2 linked regions of the Saccharomyces cerevisiae S288C genome follow. Changing the gene in region 1 together with any one later gene gives a genetic interaction. Each region holds a gene or a part of one and is shown on either strand. Other genes may lie near its edges. The genes, in order: YJR015W and PTM1.

Region 1 (3,999 bases):
CAGGTGGAGCTGTGGGTAAAATTACCGGTAAGGAAGGTACTTACTTCAAGGGTAGAGCACGTGTGTTCGAAGAGGAAGGTGCCTTTATTGAAGCCTTGGAAAGAGGTGAAATCAAGAAGGGTGAAAAAACCGTTGTTGTTATCAGATATGAAGGTCCAAGAGGTGCACCAGGTATGCCTGAAATGCTAAAGCCTTCCTCTGCTCTGATGGGTTACGGTTTGGGTAAAGATGTTGCATTGTTGACTGATGGTAGATTCTCTGGTGGTTCTCACGGGTTCTTAATCGGCCACATTGTTCCCGAAGCCGCTGAAGGTGGTCCTATCGGGTTGGTCAGAGACGGCGATGAGATTATCATTGATGCTGATAATAACAAGATTGACCTATTAGTCTCTGATAAGGAAATGGCTCAACGTAAACAAAGTTGGGTTGCACCTCCACCTCGTTACACAAGAGGTACTCTATCCAAGTATGCTAAGTTGGTTTCCAACGCTTCCAACGGTTGTGTTTTAGATGCTTGATGCATTATAGGCCCCAATCGATGAATATATATATAGAGATTCTCCTTTTCCATCATCTTTTTTGTTCGCAATCTTTTCATATATATATATATATAAATATTTATTATAGTCCATTGAATGGATAAACATTTATTTAAAAAAAAACAACGATCAGTATTTTTTTATTTGAAAAGTCGCCTTAATTATAATCTACGAAATTAACTCTGCTTTGCTGCCACTAAAGCCTTCTGTTTTAGTTTTCTACTAGCATACTTGCCAACAAATGGTAACAGTGCCGTATTCAAGGCAATGAGTGCGACTAAAATACCATAATTCCGACCCATCTTGCGTCTTGTCACGTCAAAAAAAATAACCCTGTAGATATCGATGACGTTGTGAACGGGCATCATGTACCCATATCTATAAACATTATTGTTTAGCGCTAATGGGAAGAAAGAAGGTGCAATATTGAGAATGACAAATGATAGGATCCAGAACCCGAGATACTGGGGTCCTAACGTAATAACAAGCATAACCGCATTTTCGTTAGCTCCTCCCGCAGCAAGCATGAAGAGCCACGTAGACATCCAATATACGACGAAGCCACCTCTACCAAAGGACTTGGTAAAATCGACTTGAAAGATGGCGGTTGTTGTGCAGAAGAACAAAGACGCAAAGAAAAAGGTGAACCATGACATAGCGATACGGTAAATTAAACCGTTGGCTGGTCTTAGCACTTTTGCCATTTCTACGTGTAATGGGCCGTACAATAGAAATTGGAAAAAAGTTAGCAGTAAACAGTAAACAACACCGATTTGTGTGGGTGCCAGTAGAATACGGTCTGTGAATGGTCTGTGGTCATAGTATTCGTAGTTATATTTACCTGCTGCAGCGATATACCTTGCATTGTTAGTTAGTGCATAACGATATACCTGGGTTATGTTTGTCAATAACGGCGGCAGATAATTTAGTGTGTAGAATGTATGGTAGTACTCTTCAATGGTCTGAGCAACCGGTAAAATCGTTGATTTTAGGTTTGTCGGGTCTCTACCAGTTTCATATACCACCTGATTAAACAGCGTAGAATTGAATAGTGGTGCGGTATCGTTGATTAGTGATTCAAATAGAGTCTCCGTGGCGTTTGGCTTGATATTAATGGCAAACCAGTATTTTTCGTCGTAAACCAAATCGACAACCTTGTCATTGACTTGCTGTGGCGTATTTACGTCGAACTTGGCCTGGAAGGTAGGACTGTTATAAATATCCCAATCACATGGTATTTTATTGATAAAAGTAGGCAAAGCATACGATATGGAGGGCACTACCATGGAACTGTTATTATCCAAAATTACCACAGGGGGTTCCTGGATAACAACCAGAAGCTTAACTTTGTGTAGATACTTGCTGGTGTCGTAAAGAGCCCCCCAGAACAACACAAACATTGTAAAGCAAATTATGGCCAGTAAGCAATTTGTGAAAACAAACTTTAAAAGAACTTTCTTCCTTTGACCCTGTAGATTAGGAGAAAAAAATGAGCCACTCGAAGGAGGAAACGCTTTCTTATCCTCGGAATTTGGCTCAGGGTCCTTCGAAGAATCCGTTGTTTGACCATCCATGTCTGGCACACCTTGTGAGACAGCATCACCGACCACGCTGGAAAGGTCATGTATATCGTTGCGTCTGCAATATTCCTCGTCCGCTTCCATATTATTATATGCTGTTGGTTCTATATCATCTAGAGATGAAGTCATAACTATACTTACTTACGGCTGGATTGAGTTGTGTTTTGTACGCCTATGGTCAACAACAAATTTTGCAGTTTTTCGGTTGCAAATAATTTGAATAGGCAATGGGGACTATATTTATTGTCCTACTACGAAGGTTTCAGAGAAGGAACGGCGCAGGCGCACGAGGGCCGGCTGCACAGTATATATGAGCGACGATCTCAAGAACGATATAGGGTTTGACTATCTAACCTACACGCCTGGTTACCAAGTAAAAAGTCCTTTTCTCCCAGAACGGTGCTATTACATATTTATGGATTGCTTACTTGGCAGCTCCTTCTGCAGCAGGCTTTTTCTTCTTCTTAGCATCGATGGTTTCCACTTTGACGTCCTTTAGGCCTTTTTCTTCCAGCAAGGAATGTATGTAAGTTTCCACTTCATCCATCACGTCACCTTGAATGACAACTTCTTCTTTTTTCTCTGCATTTTTCGAGACTGAGCACCCTGTGGCGAACCTAGACGCAAATGTCTTGGCTAGCTTTTTCATGTCGATGTCGAAAACTTCCAGCCCAGAGATAGCGACGATAAACTTTCTCTTGGTCCTAGCTTCTCTTTTAATGATCACTTTCGATGACAGCTTCTTAGCTAATTCTCTTTGTTCCCTGTTTTCCTGTTTTTTTTGAATTTTCAGCAAGTCCTTTTCCAACTTTTCCTCTCTAGCTTCGCCAATACTGGATTCAGCCAGTTTGTTGGTCACGGCTTCCACCTCTTGCGTATTATCGTCAGTACCGTATAGCTTTGCATAAAGGTCTGCGTGGTTTTCAGATAACCAAACTTTACAACGCTTTAATTTTCCTGAAAACTCGCAGTACTCTGGTGGGTAGGAGCAAATTCCACAATAGATGACTTCTCTTAACATTTTATGCAATATGCTTTTCTTTAGTTTAGCTCTTGAACTGTTTCCTTGGGGTGATTTTATCCAGTAGGAATTAATAATTTTTTCACTCACACATCACATCAAGTATCTTTTTCCTTTTTTTTTTCAGCTTTTTTCTCTTTTGGTGGTGCGCTTTTGCATTTTTTTTTTCATATTTACACATTCATTATATGAGTAGATTTATAGAATTGATGTACATGGTGCAAGTTCACGTCAGTCAGTTGTTCTTTTTGTTGGAAACTGTGGGTTGCGTCGGTATCTTAATATCAGTAATAAATTGACCCAGTAGCCACACATTGGTGACGAAAAATAACACGCTTGCAATAAATAGTCCAGGATAGAATACATTCTTGCCTTCGAATTCCAAATAGTAACCTTGGCTTAACCAAATTCCCTGCGTTCCTACCCAAAGCGTGGCCATTAAAAGCCCCTTCTTCCAACCAATGTGCGTTCTTGAGAGGTAAAATGGTAGAAAGATCAGGTACCAAACAAAATATTGCGATGTGCACACTTTATTATATGTCACAAATGCGAACGTCTGCACAAATAAAACCCTCAATAGGTTATCGAATGTGGGATTCCACCATTCAAGACATCCAGTTACTAAAACAAGCAGCAATTGAGGCACAAATGCGTACCTTGAGAGATTGGACTCACCATTTTCCTTATTTGCAGAATCTAAATACAATAGCATGTTCCACACTGAAAAATTGTGTCTGTGATCCGTTCTGTATAAGTGGTACAAGTATGCCTGATCCAGAAACTCGTATCCGTATATCTTGTACATTGCCCAACCACATCCAAGCAAAGTTGTTAGAGTACTCAAACCGATATTGAGTAG
Region 2 (4,104 bases), on another chromosome or scaffold:
GGGCACCCGTTTTTAGTGTATGGAAAAAGTTGAGTGCTTTACCCTTTTTCCATGATGACCGTTGAAACATGTACGGACTATCAAGTAATAGTGAGGGTAAAGACAGTATATACACACTTCCTTTTATTTTCGTCTCATCTTGTATTTTCATTTGAAGGACGGAATATTTACTTTTCATGGCTTGTATTTTTACTCGATTCCAACTTTTTTTCAAGCTTATCAAATTCCTTTAATGCTATTTCTTGCTCAGGATCCATGATCTGAATCACTTCTTTCACTTCATCCACATAGTGCTTCAACATGGACTCAATACCGTACTTCAAAGTCACTTCACTAGAAGAGCATGAGGTACATGCACCTTGTAATCTTAAATAAACGGTTCCAGTCTTTGGATCCCACCCACGGTAATCGATATCACCGCCGTCCTCCAAGATGGCTGGTCTTATTCTTGTATCTATCAGCTCTTCAATCAATTCGCTGACCTCTTCATCTTCTTCGGTAAGTTCAAATTTGGGCATATTTATTTTGTAGCCACCTTCTCCTTCTTCTTCTTGGACAGCATGGAATTCTTTGGATATAACATCTTCACCGTAAGCAAGTTGCTTGGTTAACAAATCTATAATTTCAGGCTTGATACTATTCCAATGGACCATTCTGTCTTTATTAATAGTGAGAAAATCATCACCTATCATTAAAGACTCCACTCCTGGACACTGCAAAAAAATTTGCTGTGCTAACTTGGAATGGTTGATGAGGTTTTCATCAGTGTTCTTAATAACTATACTCTTGGAGCCACGCGTCTGTAGCATCTCGCCATCTGTGGAGAGAAATTTTAAAGCATTTTCATTTGGAGTTGTTAAAGTCTTAATATGAATTAATCTCTGAGAATTTAAGTAAAAAATCGGAGACTTCCCCAATTTAGCCACTGATTTGAACATTGTTAGTCAATTTCTTGCTTTTTTGCTTAGATTACGCTGAGAATGCCTTATGTATTCTAATTAGTCCGCTAAATACGCTTCTTTTTATAATGATTAATAAGCAATATTGTAAGTAGATCACTGAAATTCGGAAAACTTAAATTATTTATCACTTGATACGTTAGAAGGCTATTTCTACAATCACCAGGACTCCGCTAAGTGGTCCTATAGATTTGATGAAATGCCTGCTTTGACGGTCTTGATGATACAAGCTAACGCTTAGCATGTTACTATACTCAATGTACATTGTTTTATCCTCAAGAGACCGCAGACGTTTCAATTTTGTGTTTAAAAGAACAATGGACAGTATATACGTAGTGCCAATTTTCTTCTATGGTGTATTATGCGCATTGAACATTGTAATATCCGTAATGTTGAACATAATTTGGGAATTGCTTCCGAATCTTCAACCTTCATGTATACCTCTTTTCGGCTAGAGTGTGGTACTTTAATTACTGCTTAGTTGTTTTGCCCGATTTAGATATTGCACCCGTGCACGTCACACATAAGCTTGGTCTTTTAAATAGTGTGTGAAAAAACGAACTTGAAGAAAAAGATAGAGCAAGATATATATAGGAGTAGGAATAGGGAGAGTGGAAAAAAAAACTTAGCCTCAAACTAATAGTCAAGAGGATCAACTATTCTGTTCAGGTTTTGCAGGTTAAAAATTGAAATAGAATATTTTCTCGGTAATTTCAAGAAACAGCTGGTAAAAAGGCAGTAAATTTACAGAAACTAAGAGTGTAAGGGCACAATGAGAGTATATCAGTTTTGCCGACCTTTCCAATTATTCACCTGCTTCTTATGCTACCTTCTAGTGTTCGTAAAAGCTAACAAGGAAAAGATAAGTCAAAAGAATTATCAAGTATGCGCAGGTATGTATTCCAAAGAAGATTGGAAGGGCAAAATAGACCCGTTTATATCATTCAATCTTAAAAAAATAAGTGGATTGAGTGATGAGTCTGATCCAGGCTTAGTCGTTGCAATCTATGATTTCCAAGACTTTGAGCACTTAGGTGTGCAATTGCCGGATGAAGAAATGTATTATATTTGTGATGATTATGCAATTGATATCGGGATTTGTGAAGAGGAGAATCGTGATGAGTTTATTGTTCAAGATGTTGTATATGATCCATATACTTCCACAAATAGATCTTTGGCCAATCCAATCATGACGTTTTCTCAAAATGAGGTCGGCCTTCATGATACTAGATACCCAATAAAAGAAACCGGATTTTATTGTGTTACTGCGTTCAGATCATCGACGTCTACCAAGTTCAACGCTGTGGTGAATTTCAGGAATGCTTATGGTCAGCTTGCGGGCACCGAGATCAACAAATTGCCACTATATGGTCTTTTGGCGGTCGCATACGTTGTGGCGATGGCGTTATATTCCTTCGCCTTCTGGAAGCACAAGCATGAATTGTTACCATTACAAAAGTATTTGCTGGCCTTTTTTGTATTTTTAACCGCAGAAACCATATTTGTATGGGCTTACTATGATTTGAAAAATGAAAAAGGTGATACTGCGGGAATAAAAGTTTATATGGTGTTCTTGTCGATATTGACGGCTGGTAAAGTTACATTTTCATTTTTCCTATTATTGATTATCGCTTTGGGCTACGGTATCGTGTACCCTAAGTTGAATAAAACGTTGATGAGGCGTTGCCAAATGTATGGTGCGTTAACTTATGCAATTTGCATTGGATTTTTGATCCAAAGTTATTTGACCGACATGGAGGCACCATCTCCACTAATCTTGATCACCTTGATTCCTATGGCGCTTGCATTAATCATATTTTACTACATGATTATTAGATCCATGACAAAAACAGTTATCTATTTGAAAGAGCAAAGGCAGATCGTAAAATTGAACATGTACAAGAAGCTACTATACATCATTTATGCGTCCTTTTTGAGTGTACTAGCTGGTAGTATAGTTTCGTCATTTATTTACGTTGGCATGAACACTATTGATATGATTGAGAAGAACTGGAGGTCAAGGTTCTTCGTTACTGATTTCTGGCCTACGTTAGTGTATTTCATTGTTTTCGTTACCATCGCGTTCTTATGGAGACCAACAGATACTTCATACATGCTAGCCGCATCCCAACAACTACCCACAGACCCAGAAAATGTCGCGGACTTTGACTTGGGCGATTTGCAATCGTTTGACGATCAAGATGACGCAAGTATCATCACTGGTGAGCGTGGCATAGACGAGGATGACCTCAATTTGAATTTTACTGATGATGAAGAAGGACACGATAATGTAAATAACCATAGCCAAGGCCACGGGCCAGTGTCTCCCTCTCCAACAAAATAACGCTACCTCCAGCAGATTTGATTAGGTGATGAGACAAATAGTTTCTTCGAGGGCAGTCACGAAATGTTTACAAGCGAAAAGAAAGAAATTATGAACCATATGCACTTCTGTTCAATGCGATGTGAATATGAATATGAATATAAATATGAATATAAATAAATAAATAAATAAATGCGTTGCACGTTTCTTTTCATTTATTTGTGCGTGCTTTTACCTGTTTATAACTGTAGTCACCAAAGCTATGCTATACTCTAGACCTAACTTTTTCGTTTTGTATTTATTTAGCCGCTCGCTGGAGTTTTTTTTTTTTCGGTGATAAGATGATTTATATCAAACCGAAACAAGCGAAAAGTTTCTGTTCATCGACTATAAAATGGAAGAGAAAATTGGTCCATAGACTTTTCATGTGTACTTGTTTATGAGAAGAGACGCAGGAAGACCAGAAGTGAGGAATTCCCTTTGTTCAAGGATGAACAACGAAGCCAGATAACGTAAGGTTGCGCGCTGCATCAGTGCTAACCTTATTAGCTTTCTCTGGCTTTTTCGGTCTTTCCTATGTAACATAACATGTATATTCTATTTGTTTATGATGAGACCACGTCCTTAGTGACAATGCTATAAACCCAGCTCTTCGATTCGTTTTTAATGAAAGGGAGAAGATTTTTTTGTCAAACGCTCTGAGTAATAGAATATACATGCGACAACATTTGTAGTTACTTGTCTTACGCTTCCTAGGGAACGGATCATCCGAGTAGAATATCATTTTACGGGATCACTTTATTCGGTGTGATTGCTCGTTAA

The links.
Region 2: mutations in YJR015W (region 1) and PTM1 together harm fitness more than expected from each alone (negative genetic interaction), as found in Saccharomyces cerevisiae (2 studies listed by BioGRID).

Annotation. Positions count from the first base shown.
Region 1 is NC_001142.9:460,970-464,968, reverse strand, and holds YJR015W (uncharacterized protein), read right to left. Parts: upstream 2,249-3,999; coding exon 716-2,248; downstream 1-715. Other genes in the region: dihydroxy-acid dehydratase ILV3, read left to right, coding at 1-518; TMA22 (Tma22p), read right to left, coding at 2,544-3,140; GPI14 (glycosylphosphatidylinositol-alpha 1,4 mannosyltransferase I), read right to left, coding at 3,376-3,999.
Region 2 is NC_001143.9:360,891-364,994, forward strand, and holds PTM1 (Ptm1p), read left to right. Parts: upstream 1-1,731; coding exon 1,732-3,303; downstream 3,304-4,104. Other genes in the region: NFU1 (Nfu1p), read right to left, coding at 168-938.